2 linked regions of the Lepisosteus oculatus genome follow. The protein of the gene in region 2 purifies or fractionates together with the protein of the main gene of each other region. This does not show direct contact. Links are inferred from orthologs where the notes say so. Each region holds a gene or a part of one and is shown on either strand. Other genes may lie near its edges.

Region 1 (9,257 bases), on a different chromosome or scaffold from region 2:
GTAAGGTTTCATGATGTTTCGCAAGGCTGAAATTGCAACATTGGTAAGACTCTTATAGGTATAGCTGTTATTATTATTTTGTAAATTAATCTGTTCAGCTGAGTTTGGAATTGCAAGTTCTCTGTGCAGTAACAATAATGTGACACATTCACGATTACAAAAATGCATTGAGCTGAAACCGGTTTAAAAATTCTCAGATGTCACAAAGGGATTATAAAAATATATGGGTGAATTTTTTGAAGCATTGTCAAGATGTGTCGATAGTCTTCATTATGGTATTCGGTCATTATACAGTAGGTGTATGGACTACAAAACAATCATCCTGCCATACAGAATATTAAAAATGTAAGGAAATCTTGGAAAAAATAACAGAAATATGTTTTGGCTACTGTGAAGCTCTAAAATCTATACAAGTCCAAAACTCTAAAATTTAAATAAATCCAAAATTATATACATATAAATAAACACAGTAGTGTTAGTGTGCCAGCTCTAATGGCCTTTTTAAATAATATGACTGGTGCTGGTCCATAATGTGCAGGAACCCATTAGTGTTTGTGAGGGTTTCATTCAAGCCAGCGTTTATTTGTTGCCATTATTTTATACTACAGGACAATCAATACTCCTGTTAACTGAACCATGAAATTGTACTCTCTTTATAAAGCATATCACAGACACCTTCAGCTTAAAGGAAAAGCTAATTGCTCATCTCCAAAAGAATAACAATTTATTATGACAACGCTCTCTTGATGAAGGTAATACACCCGGAATCATTGATATTGGAAAAACTTCAATATTGTTAACAGCGTTTCAAAAAAGTGTGAAGACTGCTTTATCTTTATATGTTAAATAAATCAAAATGGCCAAATAATCTACAGTAAGGACCTTCCCAACACACGGCAAATAAGCTAAGAGCATAACAAGAAGAATTATTTTGTTAATGATTAACAGGGGTTTTAACCACATCGCTCATTGTTTTCATAAACCAACTCAAAATACTATAAACATTGCATTGTTGTGCAGTATGAAATATAGTCTCCTCCACAATTTTGTTAAATGTTTTGGTATAACAATCATCTTTTGTATAATAATGTGCAAAGAGATACTATTGGCTTTTAATTTGTTTATGCGCGTATTCTATGATAAAGTTGTAATGCCACATGTTTATAGATCTCAGAGAGATGCTCCATTTAGTGTAAATTAGGTTTTCTTTATTAGCAATGTTCATTTTCTGAGAAACTTCTTATTGTAACAAATGCAAAAATATTTATTCATCCAAAGTCTTACTCCTTGACTTACAACCAAAACATACAGATGCCAGCTCTCCCTTAAAATCAATTAAAAAAAACATTTCATAATGAATAAGCTGTCAGCCTCAACATTCCAAAGTGATGGAGCTACCACAAAAGACATCCAAAAACATGTCACCAGTTAGATCTGTTAACACAAGGATAAATCAGAGGAACAAGAAAAAGAATTACATTCTGTATACAAAATCCAGAATTCTCATATTTTTATTTTCGAATGCAAAAGTTCAAATACACTGCCCCGAGAGCCATAAACAGTATTCATACTGTTGTCTTGTCTTTGCTGATGGTTCCTAAGAGAGAGAGATCATCATGTTATAAAACTCATAATAAAAACATCGGAAACTAAACAGTTGCATAATAAATTATACAGGTAGTAATTTTGTAAAAAAAAAAAAAGATACTTGCATTCTTTTCAGTCCTGCTAGAGTTTGCATCCCTTTTTATTTTAAAAACTTTATGCACAATCAGACCAATCCAGGAAGAAAGAACTGCCTCACATTCTCTCAAAACAATATCGTAAGAACGTTTCAGTGTGTACAGGGCTTATAAAACAATTACTATTTCTAAAAAACTCAGAAAGACGATCATTTTTGCTGTTATTGTTTTTAGTTCTTCCCATGATCTTAAAATGCAGCATTGTAATTGCTGTATACTACTACTGTGTGTTTTACCACATTGTTAATTCTGCCATTAATAATTCACTGCAGCCTTGGACCTAGGTAAACCTCTCTACAACATACTTCATATCCTGGGAATACAATGCAAATGGAAATTTCTTTTAATATTTCATACCAATTGTAAGCATGACCCATGTCTAGTGTACATTCAATTTGCATTGCAGTGAATATTCTTAGAGGTCTTGTATCAGGGCTACACCTCATATTTCTCCCCGAGTTCGATGTATTTTTCAGTAATGATCATTGCTAGGCGCTCTCCGTGCCAATAAAAAGATACAAAAATCACGTTTTATTAAACTGTTGCCTATTTTAATGTTTAATGATGGAGATATCACGTGTACATTAAAGCGTAATGACACAGACATTGGACATGAAATGCAGAGTAAAAGCAACGTGCCAAATATTGTCCCCTGTCGTTCTCTAGCTAAAGTAACATGTTTTGATTTTCCAAAACTCAAAACGGTCACAAATCTCGATGTGAATGTCGTCTCATGACGACTGTAAACGGCAGCTGATAATGAAAGAAAAGAGTGACTTTAGGTTCGTGCACCATTCGTGGCTACAGACAACGGGAGAACAAGACTGGGGTTTACTGAGTTTGAATTTCTAAATTAAGCGCTTCAATCAGCAAGTACAAATCCAACAACAGTTAACTGCAATTAGACAACAACTAGACTTCACTTCACTAGGGACAAACTCGTGTACAGTATCCCTACAAGGCGTCCCCATTAAACAACACTGTGCGGTTTAAGATTTTCAGAACAATGACGTAATGCTCTTTGTTTTATCTTCCACGTGAAACTGACACTAAATCGGTGCGCAGAGGCATTAATTCCCAGTGTTGCAAGAACCCAATTGCTTCGTGCCACGGCGTGTGTGCAAAAACAAATTTCTGCGACACCAAGCGCACACCGGTGTTCATGCAAAACGCGCCGCTAATGGTGATTTCAACTGGACTTTTACAAGCTAGGTTCATGTATTGTACTCCCCCAGGACAGAATTTGTTTCTCCCGCCCCCCCAAAAACATTCTGCTAATCCTTAGAAACCCCGCGGTTCTGCTTTCGAGCATTTCTTCTGTGTTCGTCTGTGAAATTATAGTTCATTGGGGAATCTTATCTGGGATAAGAAGCTGCAGCTCGGGTGCTTTAAGAGCATAGCCAGGTCTACTGCGGCCAATGGCCACCTCGTTATCAATGAGCTCAGGTTACCAGGTTTTGCTAATCGTGACGCCCGGTGTCCTCTGCAGCTGTACCTAGCATAAAAGCTGGTCAAAGGTATCTCTGAACTACTCTTCACGCTTGTTGGGATCCTTAAAGGTGTTTAACATTTTTGTTAAAAGCGAGAAAGGGGTCCTGTTGATTCCCAGCTGAGCGTTTTGTTGTCGGTTTGAAACTTTTACAATTTTTCAGCGCGCTACCACGGGCAAATGATGGTCATTCCGTTAATGCACACAGGTGACAAAGCACAGTACCTAAAGAAGACATCCACAGTCTCCCATTTAAAAAAAAATAAATAAGCTGGTGTATAAAAGCCTGAGAGGTACTGTATCTGCCCAGACGTCAGCTACAAACTGATACCCCTTTACGGAATGAAGGTATCTAAACTATTTACGGTCCACAGACCCGGTTGCATCGGACCTGCATTGTGCGGTAGTGCGGAGAATTTCAGTAACGCAAATGATAAGTGTTTTATCAACCTCTTTCTCAGTTTTAATTCAAGGAATGTCCTACAAAGAGCCCTCATTGTACTCAAGACAATCGCTAAAAGATACGAGCCAGGACCCTAACAATACTTTGCTGAACAAAAAAAAAACCAGGCAGGCGACTCTACTTACTTATTCGGTTGAAACTCTCCGACAAAGTTCTTCGTAACTTTTTCATTTTGCCGATTTTTTCAGCGGGCTGCGAGGCTGGCATGAAGTCACACATTTCGATTCCCGGTTGGACCGGAGTCGGTAAAAGAAAAGGTCCAACACCAGAGATCCTGGGAAGAAAAGTCGTCGGGGGCAAAGAGGAATCGAGCAAGCGGCGTCTCCGCTTTTGCTATGCTGTCAAACCCAGGAAATGTGCTCTGCGAGAAGCTCCCGTTTTCAAAGAGGCATTTTCTTGCGCTAGTTTTTTTTTTTCTTTCAGGTTTTTGCACTTGCGAACTTCATTTCTTGAGGCAGAGCATCACTGCTGGCGATTTAAAAGAACTGAAACTTTACAACGTGCCCAAGAAAGGATGTGCTTTTTTAAAAAAAAAAACACGTCTTCCGCAGGTCTGTGTCAATTTCTCACTCTCTTTGCTTTCACTGTTTTTCTCTCAGTCTGGATGTCATTTTCGGGATTCTCTTTTCGGGAGGGGGAGTAAAAGAGGGGAAAAATCCCACCTCTGCCAGCCCATGATTGGTCAACTGCAGTCAATCTGGGTTGTGATACACTATCGGTCCCTTCAATCAGAAAGTAACGACTGTAAGGTCAGTCATCGCTCCGATTCGAGCTGCGTGCTTTAAACCCACAAAGTTTCTTACAGGGTTTTTAGACGAGAAAAAAAATGCGTCCCTTAATAATAATTGCAGGACACTTTGCATCGTCTCTTTATGTTTCTCTTTTTGTTTGTGTTTTGATTATACTTTGAAATAACAGTGAAAGGCTTTAATCTTTATAAAACTATTAGTAATGCTGTATATTAATGTTGAGCGAACGAGCTTTGGTCACTTACAAATCCGGGTTTTCTATCAAAGAAGGCCAGTTGTACATTTGCAAATAAAAGTTTCAGCTCTTTTATCAGCCTCTAGTTCCATCCCGCATTCCAGCACGCCCAGGGTACTTTTCAAGTGGGTTTATATTAAGTAATTTTATTTCATGCATTGTAGTCTGTATAAATAATCATTAAAGTTGGAATTGTGACAATACAGAAATTTAGTTTCGGTATTTATGGAATTGCAGCATCTTTAAATATGAAATACACGAGAAGAAATGAAGGGTTTCATAGTCTAATTTTACTTTTATACTAAATATGAATCTTAATCTGACGGTCTTGCACGAACCGTGTTAAAAGTCTTGTGTGCCTATACAGTAGATAACATCACTTTATTATTAACCCTTTACAATGTCTTGCAAGATCTTATTTTAAGGACATATTTTAAATTTAGACAATGGGGGTTGGGATTTGAAAAGTTAGTGGTTTTAAAATGGATTATAAACTTAATGTATTACGTTTAACATTGCTTATTATTGATTCTAAACATTTAGGTGACAGGTTGGCTGTAAAATGTAATTTCTTATTCTTTAATTTGCTCTGAAATGATGATAGTGCTAAAACCGTAGCTCTGTACTCTAATGAGTCCTCATTCTTTGCTTGCAAAGAACGACTTTCATTTAAAAATCACATCTCTCCCCTTGTTTGAAGTCTTTACAAGGGCCCTTCATGCTGGAAAAAAAGAACCGGGAGATGAAATAAAGGTCATCTTCACAGCCCCTCATAAAGAAGAGCACCTTTCCAATCGCCTGTCATTCTGAATTACACCAGAACCTGTGATGCATAATGTGCGGTTCATCATTTTCTTTACCTTCCTTTTACTAGATGATATGTGAGCAAAGTGAAATTTGGTACAACTTTCCATAGCAGGGAGGTAAAAAAAGGATAACATACAGTACCAACTCTTTACATATGAAAGGTCTTTCACAAGCAGTGCTGGTAATACACTGGCACCTTGAGGTGTCTCCTGTCTGTTGTCCATGTCTTAGTTTCATTAAGGCAGATGGGAATCACAACTGCTTGATACAGCAGGGGTTGAGCTTGGTTTAGCTGAGGACACAGTCTGGGAGCAGTTGCGTGTACATGCAGCCAAAGGCTGAATTTGCATATTTGTGGCGATGTTGATCCTCTTAATCGATATCAGCCGGTCTGATGTTCCCCAAGTTCAAGTCACAGGAAATGCTACGTGTTCAACAGAGTCTCCTAGCAAATCTAAATTGCCAGGGCTGTAGGCTTCTTATTCTCTGTTCTGAAACAGTCGCAGGAGGTTAAATTCCCTACCTTACAGTAATTTAACTTTTATTAAGGAATATTAAAAGAAATGTTAGGGTTGACTCCTGTCATAACATCAGTGGCGCTTGTACAGTAATTCACAAATCAGAATAATTGCTCATGCTCAGGCATGCATCATTGTCAGGCATGTCTCCTACCGTATCTTCCAAACTATTATCATCTTGAAACAGGTGGAGAACAATGATTAATTTCTGCATTAATGGCTTCAATCTCTTTAATATGATCTTCCAAAGTGCTTCTGAGTTGAAAGAGTCAAAGGATGCCATGAATAGAGTTTGTTTTGTCCTCAACATTGTCCTGTAGCATGTAAGCACTGAAGATCATGTCAGTTGTGCCTCTTAGTCGACTGCACCTACAATGGGATTCTGGGAGAAGCTCTTCAGTAAGCGAAAGGAGACAAATCTGGAGGGTTCTCGCAATGAGACAGCAAGCTGATTTCCATTGTCAGGTGTGTAGCCTGTCCTCCAAACTATCATCATCAAGGCATCCTACAGGGTCACTGGGGCTTTTCTCATCATCCTCGATCCACAGCACAAAGGCTTGGGACTCTGCTGTGAGCACCTCCCACTGCTTGAAGGCTTTGGCAAGGTCTGCATCAGCTCCAAAAGTCTTTTTGTTCTTCATCCACTTAATCAACTTCCTTCCTGCATTAAGGCTCATCTCGACAAAGTCTTGACTGAGGAGGCACTCAAAACACTTCTTGTAATGTGCATTAACAACTTCTTTCTCCTTGATGACAATTTTTTCTGTTCTTAGGTCTCGAGGGGGCTTGTGCCTGAGTGCTCAGACCACACAGTAAATGGTTTTGGCAAAAAGTCACACGTATTATGTACACCATGTTTCTTCATGTCATGGATCACTCTTTTAACCTCTATCTTGACTCACTAGTGATTGCTTTTTTTTTTGGACTTGCTGTCATTCTTCTGCTAATGTATTATATAGAAATGGCAACATCATAAATCTTTGGTTTGGAGCTTGACATTATAATATGTAAACAAAAGTCTTTCAGTAGAACGTTTTTGTTGTCATGACTGTAGGTGAGTTCACAGTCATAGGAGAGCCCTTGCTGGTAAAGGAGGCTTAATTTATTCCACTCACTGCCTTAAATAGAGTCCTCACGGGAGGTTGTGCAAATCACTGTGCTGCTGAGTTTCACATCACATTCTCATCACACTGCAGAGCATCTCCACATATTTGCAATATAAAACTTTGGGGCCTTGGGATACAATATTCACATTTTGGATAATGTATTAGCTTTAGATGTGCTGTACAGTAATCAAACTCTACCTCGTAATTCCATGTCTTGGTAGTACTGCATGTCTCCGAGTATTGTTTTCATAGCTGTGTTCAGCCTGTGTGGTTTTAAATAAGAAAACCAATTGATAAACAGCAGTGTACTTCAACTGGCACATACAATGCCTTCCAGATATATTCATACCCCAGATGAAATTTTATGAAGTCTTATAGACAGATTATCATGAAAAGTCAGATGTTTTGACATGCTTGTCAGCATTGTGAAAAAAAGTTAAGATCATTCTGAGAAAATATCCATGCCCATTGTGAAATGTGGGGTCTGTTATGTTTTGTGATTGTTTTGTATTTACAGGCCCTGGAATCATGAACTCCAACATGTCCCAAGATATTTGATAACACCTGTTTCCTTCTGTCAACAAATAGGCATTCTAGCATGACAATGATCCAAGGCATACATCTAAATCAACAAAGAAATCTTTAACTGAATGCAAAATAAATGTTCTCAGCTGGCCATTGCAATCTCACACATCAATTTAATAGAACATGATGGTCTGAACTCAAGAAAGCAGTTTAGCAACGGGAGCCAAAGTGTCTGAAGGAATAAGAGCAATTCTTCCTTAAATAATGGTAAAAAATCCCCCGTCAGAAATGCCAGAGGCTCACACACCTACTAGAGGTGTAATCCCTGCCAGAGGAGGATTTACAAAATACTTAGGTGAAAATATATATGATCCTTGTGTTTTCTGGACATTTATCTAGGACAAATATGACTTTGCTCTGTACAATGATATTAAGACTACATTAAGAATTTTTTTTACTTTTTCCAGAAAGAGACATTATCCTAGCCATAAATCTTTACTATATGATACATTATATATACACACCGTATGATGTATTTTTTCTTCCTATTCCACTGAATGAATAGGTGGACATGAATAAATCAGGAGGACACTATGTATGGGTTTGAGAGATTAGGTGGTTCTTTATGTTTGGTATTTAAAATGATATTGGGGCTTGCCTGCATTGCTAGTGGTAATCCAGCTGTTTACAAATACCAGCCTGAAAGTCTACCTCCTCATGCAGATGCAGCACAACCAAACTGATTACAGACCATGTGTTCAACAGAATTACATTGCCAGGGCAAAGATGGCTCACAAATTTCAATGAGAATTTCTAAGACTTTTTTGGCATACAGTATGTTAAAAGACTAAGCAATGGGCTGTTTTTGCCATCCACCAATTTTGACACTGAGCACAAATTGAAACTTTTAACCAAACTATGTGGATAAATGCATGCTGCAGGGCAGCGCAGGCACTGTACATTGATGTCTTGTTTATAGAACAGAAATGGGTTAGCTAAGACCTTAACAGCTACTGCCAAGTTGGGTGCAATACGATTGTCTTCACTTAGGGCTGTTGTACTCCTTAGGAGGACTAGGGCAACCTATGAATAATAATAATAATAATAATAATAATAATAATAATAATAATAATAATAATAATAATAATATTAGGGCAACCTATTATCCTATATGAGTCTGGGAACAACAGCTATGAGGGTCATAATTGGAACAGCAAGCTCATTTAATTGCTAACTGGTAATTGATCTGAAAATCCCATCCAGCGATTTTGAGAAAGAAGCCAGAGCATCAACTTTGACAACTCATACAGTATGGCTGCGTTACTTGTTCCACACTCCCACAAGCCTTTGTGTAAAGATGTTCTTCCCACAATCAATCAACCAATCAAGGTTTATTTATCAATGCATAAGCAGTACAGAATACGATTGTCTTGTGTTGTCGGCAATGAAATGCATTGTCTGCGAGCTCGTTAAGAGCTCAAGCTTGAATAAGACTTTTGGTGAAACTGCAGATAACGTCAGCTGAATGAATGTTACCTGAACAATGTGAAGTGAACTAGCAGCAGCCTCACTGAACAAACTTTTATTCCTTTTGTAAGTATACAGTAGCTAATCAAATTACCT
Region 2 (9,429 bases):
GCCCTGTGCAAGAAAGCCACAGATCAGGCTAGTACAATTCCTCAAAAAAATGCTAAATGTTAAGTGTTCCGGTGATAAGCATCTTGCTATCTAATCTTATGGTCTTTGCTAAAGGGCTAAAACTGTCCTTTTAAGTTATGTGTACCGAAGCGGTTTTATCTAAAGGCAGCTTCAGTTTGAAATGACATCAAGAATGTTTTGTATGTGTCATGTGGCACTTGTTTCTCATGCAACTGCTAAAGCTATATAACAAGAAGTAGGAAGAACGTCTTAAGGAATACATGGTGGCATGGAAAGCACAGCTCGATTTACACAGAAAAAAAACTTTGGGAAGGAGCCAGATTCAGTTCACTGTAGAAGTCGAAATGATTAAATTGATCAAAATGAAAAAAAATCAAATGTGCTTGGTTGTTGAGTGACTCAACAAACTATGAAAAGGCGGTTGCTGCAGGTGGAGCACTATGACCCAGAGGTCTCAGGCTAGAACCCGAGTCTGTAGCCTGCTGCTTAGGAAACCCCAGCTTACTGACTGGGATTCCCCTTGCAGCTGCTTGGAGTTAGTAAAGTATCGCCAGAGCAAGGCAGACAGCAATCAGTAAGGGCTCTCTCAGCTTTCCATCAAAGGCCAGCTTTCTGAGCACCCGGATGTGATGTCAGAGAGAAACCCACCCCTCATCCAGTCAGTACTAACTCTCCCGTCAGGCACCACTGAGCCTGCAGAGTGACCAAAGAGCAGCGTCTCAATAGGAGGGCAGGTCAGACTGAGGCTTGTCCCTCAGTCCTCATTCTCTCCTTCAGCAGTACTGGAGTCGCTGCTGTGAGCCGAGACAAAGAAACATTTGGCGAAAGCAAATTGGGTGTGGAAAGAAAATCAAAACTAGGAAAAAAATTGTTCAAATAAAAAAAATATTTCCCCCTTGCATCGCTAATCATACAATACAAACTGGAAGTAATGTTTCACTGAGTTAATTTTGAACTTTATGCTGCAAATATTGATTGCTATGCGATTGTCAAAATTTTCTTTCAGTTTATAAACCATTTAAAGCCCAAGTAACTAATATTACAGTACCTCAATGTTTATTTAGTAAGGTTTAAAATGAAAAGCACACAAAGTAATACGAAGGGTAATAACTTAATTCACTCTGATTTACCTGTTCTAACTATATTAAATGTTAAACATCTTTTTGCAATGTTTAGAAAATGTACCTCAGAGGTTTCCTAGTGAAGCTATAAGGGAGGTGTCTAATAGTGATGATTTGTTCTAGGATCTGCTGTCCTAGAATACAACAAGGATAGTGTGACAGGCCAGTTACTTGTCTAGAATGGCACCAGTACTGAAAGGACAAGCTTATAGACAAGTTCCAAAAAAGAAATTAAAAATTTTATTTAGTTTATAAAATGGGAAAGCCACCAATACAATAGCCGCTTTTAAATTATATGCCTTTTAACTTTCTATGTTTTGGGAATCACCAAGAAATATTTAGTGCTTGCTTAGGCGTATTACTAAGTAGTAAAATTCTACAAGAACTGAGTAGTAAAATTCATGGAAAAAAAATATTTGCCGACTTCTGTAATTGGGATTAACCTGGAAAGTTGTTTTTACATGATAAAATGGTAAAATACGTGCAGTAACAGTGATTCGTGCAATTCATTATGCTGTTTTTTTGTCAGTCTTCAGATCAATTGAAGCTATAAAACTGTTTAACATTAATATATCTCATTGCAGTACTGTATTTCTCTGTAAAAGACGTGCCTTCTGATTTTAAAGAGTATTTTCATAAAGGAACTTTCACTGCTGCACTAGTGAGTTTATCATAGCCTCGTTAGCCTGTAAATGCTACTTAAAAATCCGGAGGTAATCAGGGTTTATTATCGCTTTTAACAAATGATTTCATTCTTCTGACTTTTACAAAGCAATTAAGCACAGTGCCCATAATAGGCTACGAACACTAATACTGTGGTTTTGTAACCAAATTTAGAAGAGTGTTTTAATTAACATGTAGTTCTTTTACGGATCTTACAAGACTGAATGAAGATTAAAATCATTACACACAGCAGTACAGTCATGGGAGTGCCCTGAAGTCGCAGTTTAAATTAACCTTTAGGGTATCGGCTGTTCAAGGAACATTTAGCTACAGAATAAAACAATAAACGGCCTTATGCCATAACGTATTTATAAACAATCCAATCTGAATGAAGTAAATAATGTTTAGATTACACACACCTTAAGAAGTTAAATGCAATCAGATCAGAAACTACCCACAGTACAACCGGCTGGACGCTGGGCTCTCACCAAAAAGACCCAGGAGAACCCGGGGACCCGCCCGCAAACATGGTTTGAACTAGGTCCACAACAACAAATTATCGATTCCTCTTATTGGAAAAAAAAAGTTTTAACAGATCAAGGCTCTTCGTTGTAAAGTCACTCGCGGTAGGGAACATTTCACGACAAAACCATGTAATAACTGATTTATGAACGTGAAACAAACATATGGAGAGGTAGTGTGTATGTTTGGTAGATGGATAACAATATAAAACCCCAAACACCGCTATGTAAATAACTAAGTACATCAAACAATGAACAACCTTTATTATTTAGAAGCGCCGATACCTTAAAAAAACAAGATGCAATAAAATTCATGCTCACAGCGGGATGACAACATTGAGGAGCCAACCTAATCGACTTGTCAGTCTGTGTCAAAGCTCCTGTCGCTTGTTTGCAAAACACAAGGGCCACCCAAAAAATAAATCACAATTTCTACTCGCTTGTACAGATACAAATGACAACAAGCACGATCCCGATTAATAGTCATACGATTCTCGAGCTTTTGAGCATCTTCACGGTTTCAATTCTTACAACTTAAGAATTAAAAAATAATTTCAAGAATCTTCAGCAATTGCGAACCTCGCAGCACTGTAACTAGTCCTCTTTTTTTTCACAAAATATATGCCGAACAAAAAGGAGGGGCTTTGGATTTACGAAATCGACGTTGGTTTTAGCGGTCCTGGATTTTTTTTTCCTTCACGTTAGACATGGTGATTTATCTGCCGTCTTACCGTCGATATTCTCCCTGTCGCTGATGTGCTGAAGGTTGCAGCCCGTGTCTTCTCGGCTGAGCTCGGGCTCCGGGCGGTAGGACTCCAGCCTGGAGTGAGCGTTTCTCCGGAGCTTGGGGCTGGAGGACACGCAGCAGGACGTCGTGTTCCCCATTTTTAGGGTTGTTTTTTAATATACTCAGTGCTCTTCAGCTTTGCTTGGCAGCACAGACCGAAGCTGGTCTTGAAAGAGAAGGCTAGGGCGCCGAGGGTGGAACTGCAACACCAGAATATCCGATCAGTTATACACCCTCGTCCGGTCCTAGCTAGCAGCAGCAGCAGCAGCAGCAATAATGCAAAGCCATTTGCGAACAGAAAAAAGAGCAAGAAATCGGAGAAAGGTTTGAAACCCTCTCCCTTTTCTTTCTGCCCGCCTGATATTTTAAGCAGGCACTGAAATCTGCACAACCCACGCAGCAGTCTGGTTTACTTGTCGTGATTGATCTAAATAAACAAAACGAAAGGGGGTCTGCTGTTATCCCCTCGTCATTTTAAACCCATTAACAGGGGCATGTAAACTGAGGATGTTAGCGAAACATTGCAAGCGTCGCGGCTCCTGCTGTCAGTGTACATAGCAAACAGAGGCAACACAGTCGAAGCAGTTTGATTGAAAAGGTTCCGGTTCAAGTGGGTGGTAACGCTTCTGCAAAATTCGCTGCTGGGAGCCTAAAAATGTGTTGGACAGGAAAGAATGGAGGGCTCAAGCGTAATATGTAGTTTTTCTCCTGGAAATGAAGTTTTTCTCTTGTCGTAACTGCGTTTATTATTAAAATAGCTGTACTCATTTCGTATTTTGTAAATTAAGTAAATATAAGAACGGTTGTATGTTACACGTAATTTACTGTACACCACAGAAAGGTGTTGTTATCTGTTTTATATGAATACAAATGTTTCTTTTTGTTTTAGCTTTTTGTAAGTATGTTTGGCGCTAGGATAAAAAATGATTAAAACCTAGAAATTATAATGTTGGAAAGGTCTCTAAAAAGATATCTCGGATTATTTAAAAAAACGGTTTGGTCCCATTTCCTGCTGCCCAAATATTAGTAATTTTATTATTCCAGTAATCAAAGTAAATTGTGCCAATAAATAAAAAGACAGAAAAAGAGAAAGGAAATCCTTATTTATTAGCATATAAATGATGTCTATGGACATCACATACTCTTCACTTGGTGTTAAGTATTAATTTCTATCACATGTGGGAAAGCTGTAATAATTGAATAGATATTAGCTTAACCCGTCTGCTATCTGCGTGCTTGTTCACCCACAGACTGGGAGATCGTCAGTCTTACAATAGTTCTTTTTCCTACTGTAACACATTTTAGAGAAATTCAGATTTCTCTGCAGATAATGTTTACATGGTAAATGTCACATTTGTGTGACTTTGATAAAGATCAGTATAACACAAAAACTAAGAATTGCCTTTGCTTTGTTTTTGAGTGGTTTAAGGAACTTGCAAGAAATGTGTTTTGGGAATCACATAAAAAAACTACTAAGGAAAGTTCAGCAGTAGTTACGTTCCAATTACTATTACTAACATGTCAGCCATTAACTGCATATCAGATACACTTTTCACATGAAGCAAGTTTTTGTTTCTCAGTATCAGTTATGTTTCGTAATGTTGTGCAATGTTTTTTTATATGTCAGGGTCTGTTTCAAGTCCATTTGTGTTTTCTGTTTCAAATGTTTTGCAGTTCATTTTTATTTTCTACCTTCAAATAACAACCTTTAATATCAAGAGGATGTTATTTTAATGCACGTATATGAGAGTAGATTCAGCCTGAAGTGTTGACAAACAAGCTATTTGGATTCAATGGAAATCAGAGAAGGATACTGGGGGCCATTTCCTCTAAGTAGCTGTGTGAGGATTTGTTTAAAATTAGAGAGACCCAAACAAGCCTTACTTTACTCATTTCACAAACTACGAATTTGTGTTTCACTTTTTAAGTAACATTTTTTATTCATGTGGCCTTCAAAATTACATATATTTTTCTGTACATATCATGCTACAGTAGTGTACATCAGTAAAGTACTCAGCTAGTAAAGATCTTTTGAATATAAGGGTCCTAATCAGGGCTATGACTCTGTGTGGGTTGTAATTTGTGAAGGTTAGCTCAAGTCACTGAGGCCCTGGGTTCAACTCCAAACCTAGGGTGCTATTTGTTTGGAGTTAGTACATTCTCCACATGTTCGCGTGGGTTTCCTCCGGATGCTTCAGTTCCCTCCCAAAATCCAAAGACACACTGGTAAGTTTATTTGCTGCTGGGAATGTTGGCCCTGGTGCGAGTGTGTGTTTGTATATGTCTGTCCTACGATGGACTGGTGTCCCATACAGGGTGTACCCTGCCCTGCGCCCATTGCTTGCCAGGATAAGCTCCAGCTCCCCCGTGACCCTAAATTGGATGAAACGGTTAGGAAACGCATGGACAGAAGGAATTTGCCTCACAACAGTGTCCTGCATGGCAGAGAGAAGACAGCTCTAGAAATGAGACAGTGAAATCCTCAGCCTCACTTGCTACTGTCATGTTCTTTTCTGTATTTATGGGATTCCTAACATGGGCAGCATAACAGACACAATGCCCTCTGCTAAAACAGATAAAGACTGATGTGCCTTCATGCTGACTGTGACACCTTGAGGAGCTCCGATTACTAGTAAGGGCTTGTTATCTAGTTGAGAGATGAAAGGTCACCTATGTAGGTCTGTAGCAAAGATGGCAGAACTGCCCTGACATGACACAGCCATTGTTTATTATGTATGCAGGTCTGCATTACAAAATGAAATAGGATGTAAATCCAATTTGATTCAGAAATGTTTTTTTCATAGTGTGTTTACAGACGCATTTTCAAATTCTTGCTGATGATAATGATCAGGAATCTACAAATGATTCGGCAGCATTGTCAGTAGTTAGCAGTAAGGGGGGTTATTTATTAATAGGGGTTTTATCTAGTCAGCTACACATCACCTTGTTATTCATTCGATATCCTATCCACGAAATATCACATTAGTCTCTCTTCAGTTACTGTAAAGAGTGAATTAAGAACTGACTTGACAGGTCACAAAAGTACTGAGCTGCTCTCTTTTTACTTGATTGGAATCTAAGTTAGTTGTTAGGTTTGATTTTCTAAGGTCTTTCCACAAGCTGTTGGGTTGCACACATCTATTGTGGTTATGTCATCTTTAGCTTTGCGGGACTCCTCCTTCTGTCTCCTTTTTCCTCTTTCATTATGCTGTGCAGTGGAGAAAGGTAACGTTAAAAATACAAATGCAGTTATTTACATATACCTAAACTAGAACTATTCGGTAGTTGTTTGATCAAAGTGAAATATTTAAACATAAGGTGAAAATGACAGCTCTCTACACTGGCATGTTGAGCAGCCTTGAAAATGAATGAAACCCAACCATAACCTGCTACCTCATCAACTGAATACACCTCTTCAGCACTAATAACACAAGAAAGGTTGCAAATAAGAGGAGGACCTTCTGCCCATGTAGCCCATTTGGAGTTTAGTAGCTAATTCATCTAAAGATTGTATCCAGCTGATTCTTGAAACAAGCCAGGGTATCCATTTGAACAAAATGGCTGAGCAGACGGTTCCATACTTACATAACCTTTTGGGTAAAGAAATATTTTATTTTCTCAAATCTAAATACACTTTTGTCTAGTTTTCTGTTGAGACCTTTTCTAACCCGTTTCATCCATTTCAGGGTCATTAAAGAGCCAGAGGCTATCTTGACAAGAGATGGAAGTAAGGCAGAGTATTCCCTGGACAGGATGGCAACCCACTGAACTAAGCAGGTGTGAGCCTGGTCAGTACCTGGATGGAAGACCAACTGGGAAAGCTAAGGTTGCTGCCTGGAAGAGGTGTTAGTGGGGCCAGCAGGGGGCGCTCACCGTGCAGTCTGTGTGGGTCCTAACACCCCAGTATAGTGACATTATACTTTAAAAAGGCGCCATCCTTCGCATGAGACGTAAAACCGAGGTCCTGGCTCTCTTTGGTCATTACAAATCCCAGGATGTTTCGCGAGAAGAGTAGGGGTGTAGCCCTGGCATCTGGGCCAAATTTCACATTGGCTTTTAATCAGTCATGGCCATGATTAAACCTGTGATTTGGCTTCAACACTCAGCTCTCCTCACCAACGATAGCTGATGTGTGGTGAGTATACTGGCGCACTATGACTGTCGCATCATCCAGGTGCATGCTGCACATTGGTGGTAGTGGAGGGGAGTCCCCGTTACCTGTAAAGCGCTTTGAGTGGAGTGTCCAGAAAAGCACTATGTAAGTGTAAGCAATTATTAATTATTATTATTATTATTATTCAACTCACACAAACAGAGGGAGAACATACAAACTCCACACAGATAGTACTCCAGGCCTGAAATTGACCTCAGGGTCCTAACACTGTGAGGCAACAGTGCTAACCACTGTGCCACTATGCCTCCACACTTTCTATTACGTATCTAAACATCGGTTGCCCCTTTACTTTTTCAGTACATTGATTAAAAGATGTTAATGATCAGGCAACACAAACCAAAGTGTTTTTCACTAGTAGCCTCTTCAAGGGAAGAGCAACACAACCCTCTGCAGCTCCTTCTGTCCTTGCTGTGGGTGCTGCAGGTGGGCAGTGTGTATGAATGACAGAATCTAGGAGTATTAGAACTTGTGTCACACAGCTGGGAGCCTTCAGTTGTTGAGGTACCACTTTGTATGATTACAGGTTGCCCTGGAGAGTAAATGTGATTTAGAGCTAACCTGTAACTTTAGATGCCATTCCACAGCAGTTAAGGACTGTGTTGAGTCAGGCCCCTTCTGCCTTCTGTATTTACTGAAGTGTGTCACCGTTCCAGTCTTTTTAAGTGCTTGTTTTATGTGTTGGTCACTAATGGACTTGATGAATTGTTCTCTGGTCAGGTCAAAATATATATACACTGTGGTGCAAAACAATAAAGGCATTTTTTCCTATACAGGGTGGCAGTGAGCTGGTGCCTAATTCAGCAGGCACTGGGCTCCTAGCACAGGATACATAGACATAATGAAGACTCCTTAAAGATGCCAGTTAACATAAACAGTATGTATTTTGATAGTGGGAGAAAACCAGAGAAGGAGAGCATGCAAACTCCACAAAAAAATCAAACCAGGACTCAAGAGCTATAAAGCAGCAGTGCTAAATGCCATGCCACTGTATCAACCTAATTTAAAAGATGAACTATTTAAATATATCATGATAAATGACCTTTGGTGAGCTTTCTAATGAACCTTTGTACATCAGAAAGGTCACCAAAGAGAGGTCATTAGGCCTAATGCGTTTGTTTGATTGTCTGTATTCCGGGAATAAGATACTAGTTGTGGTGGCTGTCCTCTAGAACACCTGAAATCTCCTTGAACCATAATCAGAAAGGGAGAACTTAGAATAGTCAATGAAACTTAACATACATGTGCAATGATGTGGTATATCCCGAAGGCTACAATGCCCTGACACCTGGTCTTATTCCAAGTGTTGGGCTCAGCAATGAAGATGAGAACAGAGAAAACACAGTCCAGGCTCTATAGGGAAGTTCCAGAAATCATGATCGAGCTAGAAGGGTTCATAGCCAGGAAGACATGAGGAGACACCCCAGGCTAGTCCAGATTCATGGTCAGGAAAACCTAGCAAAGGTCAGTACAAAGTAAGCAAAGTAAAGAGCAAACAAAGTGAGAGACAGATCACTAGCAGAGCAAGCCAGGTCATCACTGACAAGGTGCAAACTCCAATGACTGAACACCGAGCAAGACCTCAACATGTGTTTGTTGTTTTGTCTCCTCAAATCTCCACTCAGACAGGTACCCCAGATGAGAATTATGCCCAGGACCCTTAAGCTGAGAGGCATTAGTGCCAACTACTCCACCGACCATATGCACTGCCCTGAGTGAAGCGTAGTTCAGGACCCTATGCAGATGGTGTAATCTGGAAGTTAATGGAGAAGGGCAAGTTAATGAAAAGGTACAACAGGATTAATACGGGTTGACAGACATGTTGGCGTGACGATGGTGACCTCGGGGGGTGTGGTGAAGGCAAACGAGTCTAAACAGTCCTAGGGGGAATCCGGGGTACAGTCCAGGAACCGGGAGATCCATCCGAGACGAGACAAACAAGGTTAAAATTGGAATGGGATCCGGAACATGGACAGGGAATAAAATCAGGGTAATGAGGCCAGGCTCGCCGAGCTCCGGACTCAGATGGTCAGGACGCCGTGATGAAGCCTATGCCGTCAGGTCTCTCCTGGACCCGCTGGTAGGTGGGCTTCCAGGTGTCCATGCTCCAATGCTGAGCCAGGCATAGCAGGAGCGCCTGCCTTA

The links.
Region 1: the proteins of ccny (region 2) and cdk14 purify together in Homo sapiens (affinity purification with western blotting; 3 studies listed by BioGRID and IntAct, with this or other methods). This does not show direct contact. The link is inferred for Lepisosteus oculatus from reciprocal best matches to the Homo sapiens genes CCNY and CDK14.

What each region holds. Positions count from the first base shown.
Region 1 is NC_090705.1:5,601,301-5,610,557, forward strand, and holds the start of cdk14 (cyclin-dependent kinase 14), read right to left. Parts: upstream 4,338-9,257; 5' UTR 3,914-4,337; coding exon 3,820-3,913; intron 1-3,819. UniProt on the Homo sapiens protein: Serine/threonine-protein kinase involved in the control of the eukaryotic cell cycle, whose activity is controlled by an associated cyclin.
Region 2 is NC_090701.1:38,336,880-38,346,308, forward strand, and holds the start of ccny (cyclin-Y), read right to left. Parts: upstream 3,726-9,429; 5' UTR 3,212-3,725; coding exon 3,058-3,211; intron 1-3,057. UniProt on the Homo sapiens protein: Positive regulatory subunit of the cyclin-dependent kinases CDK14/PFTK1 and CDK16.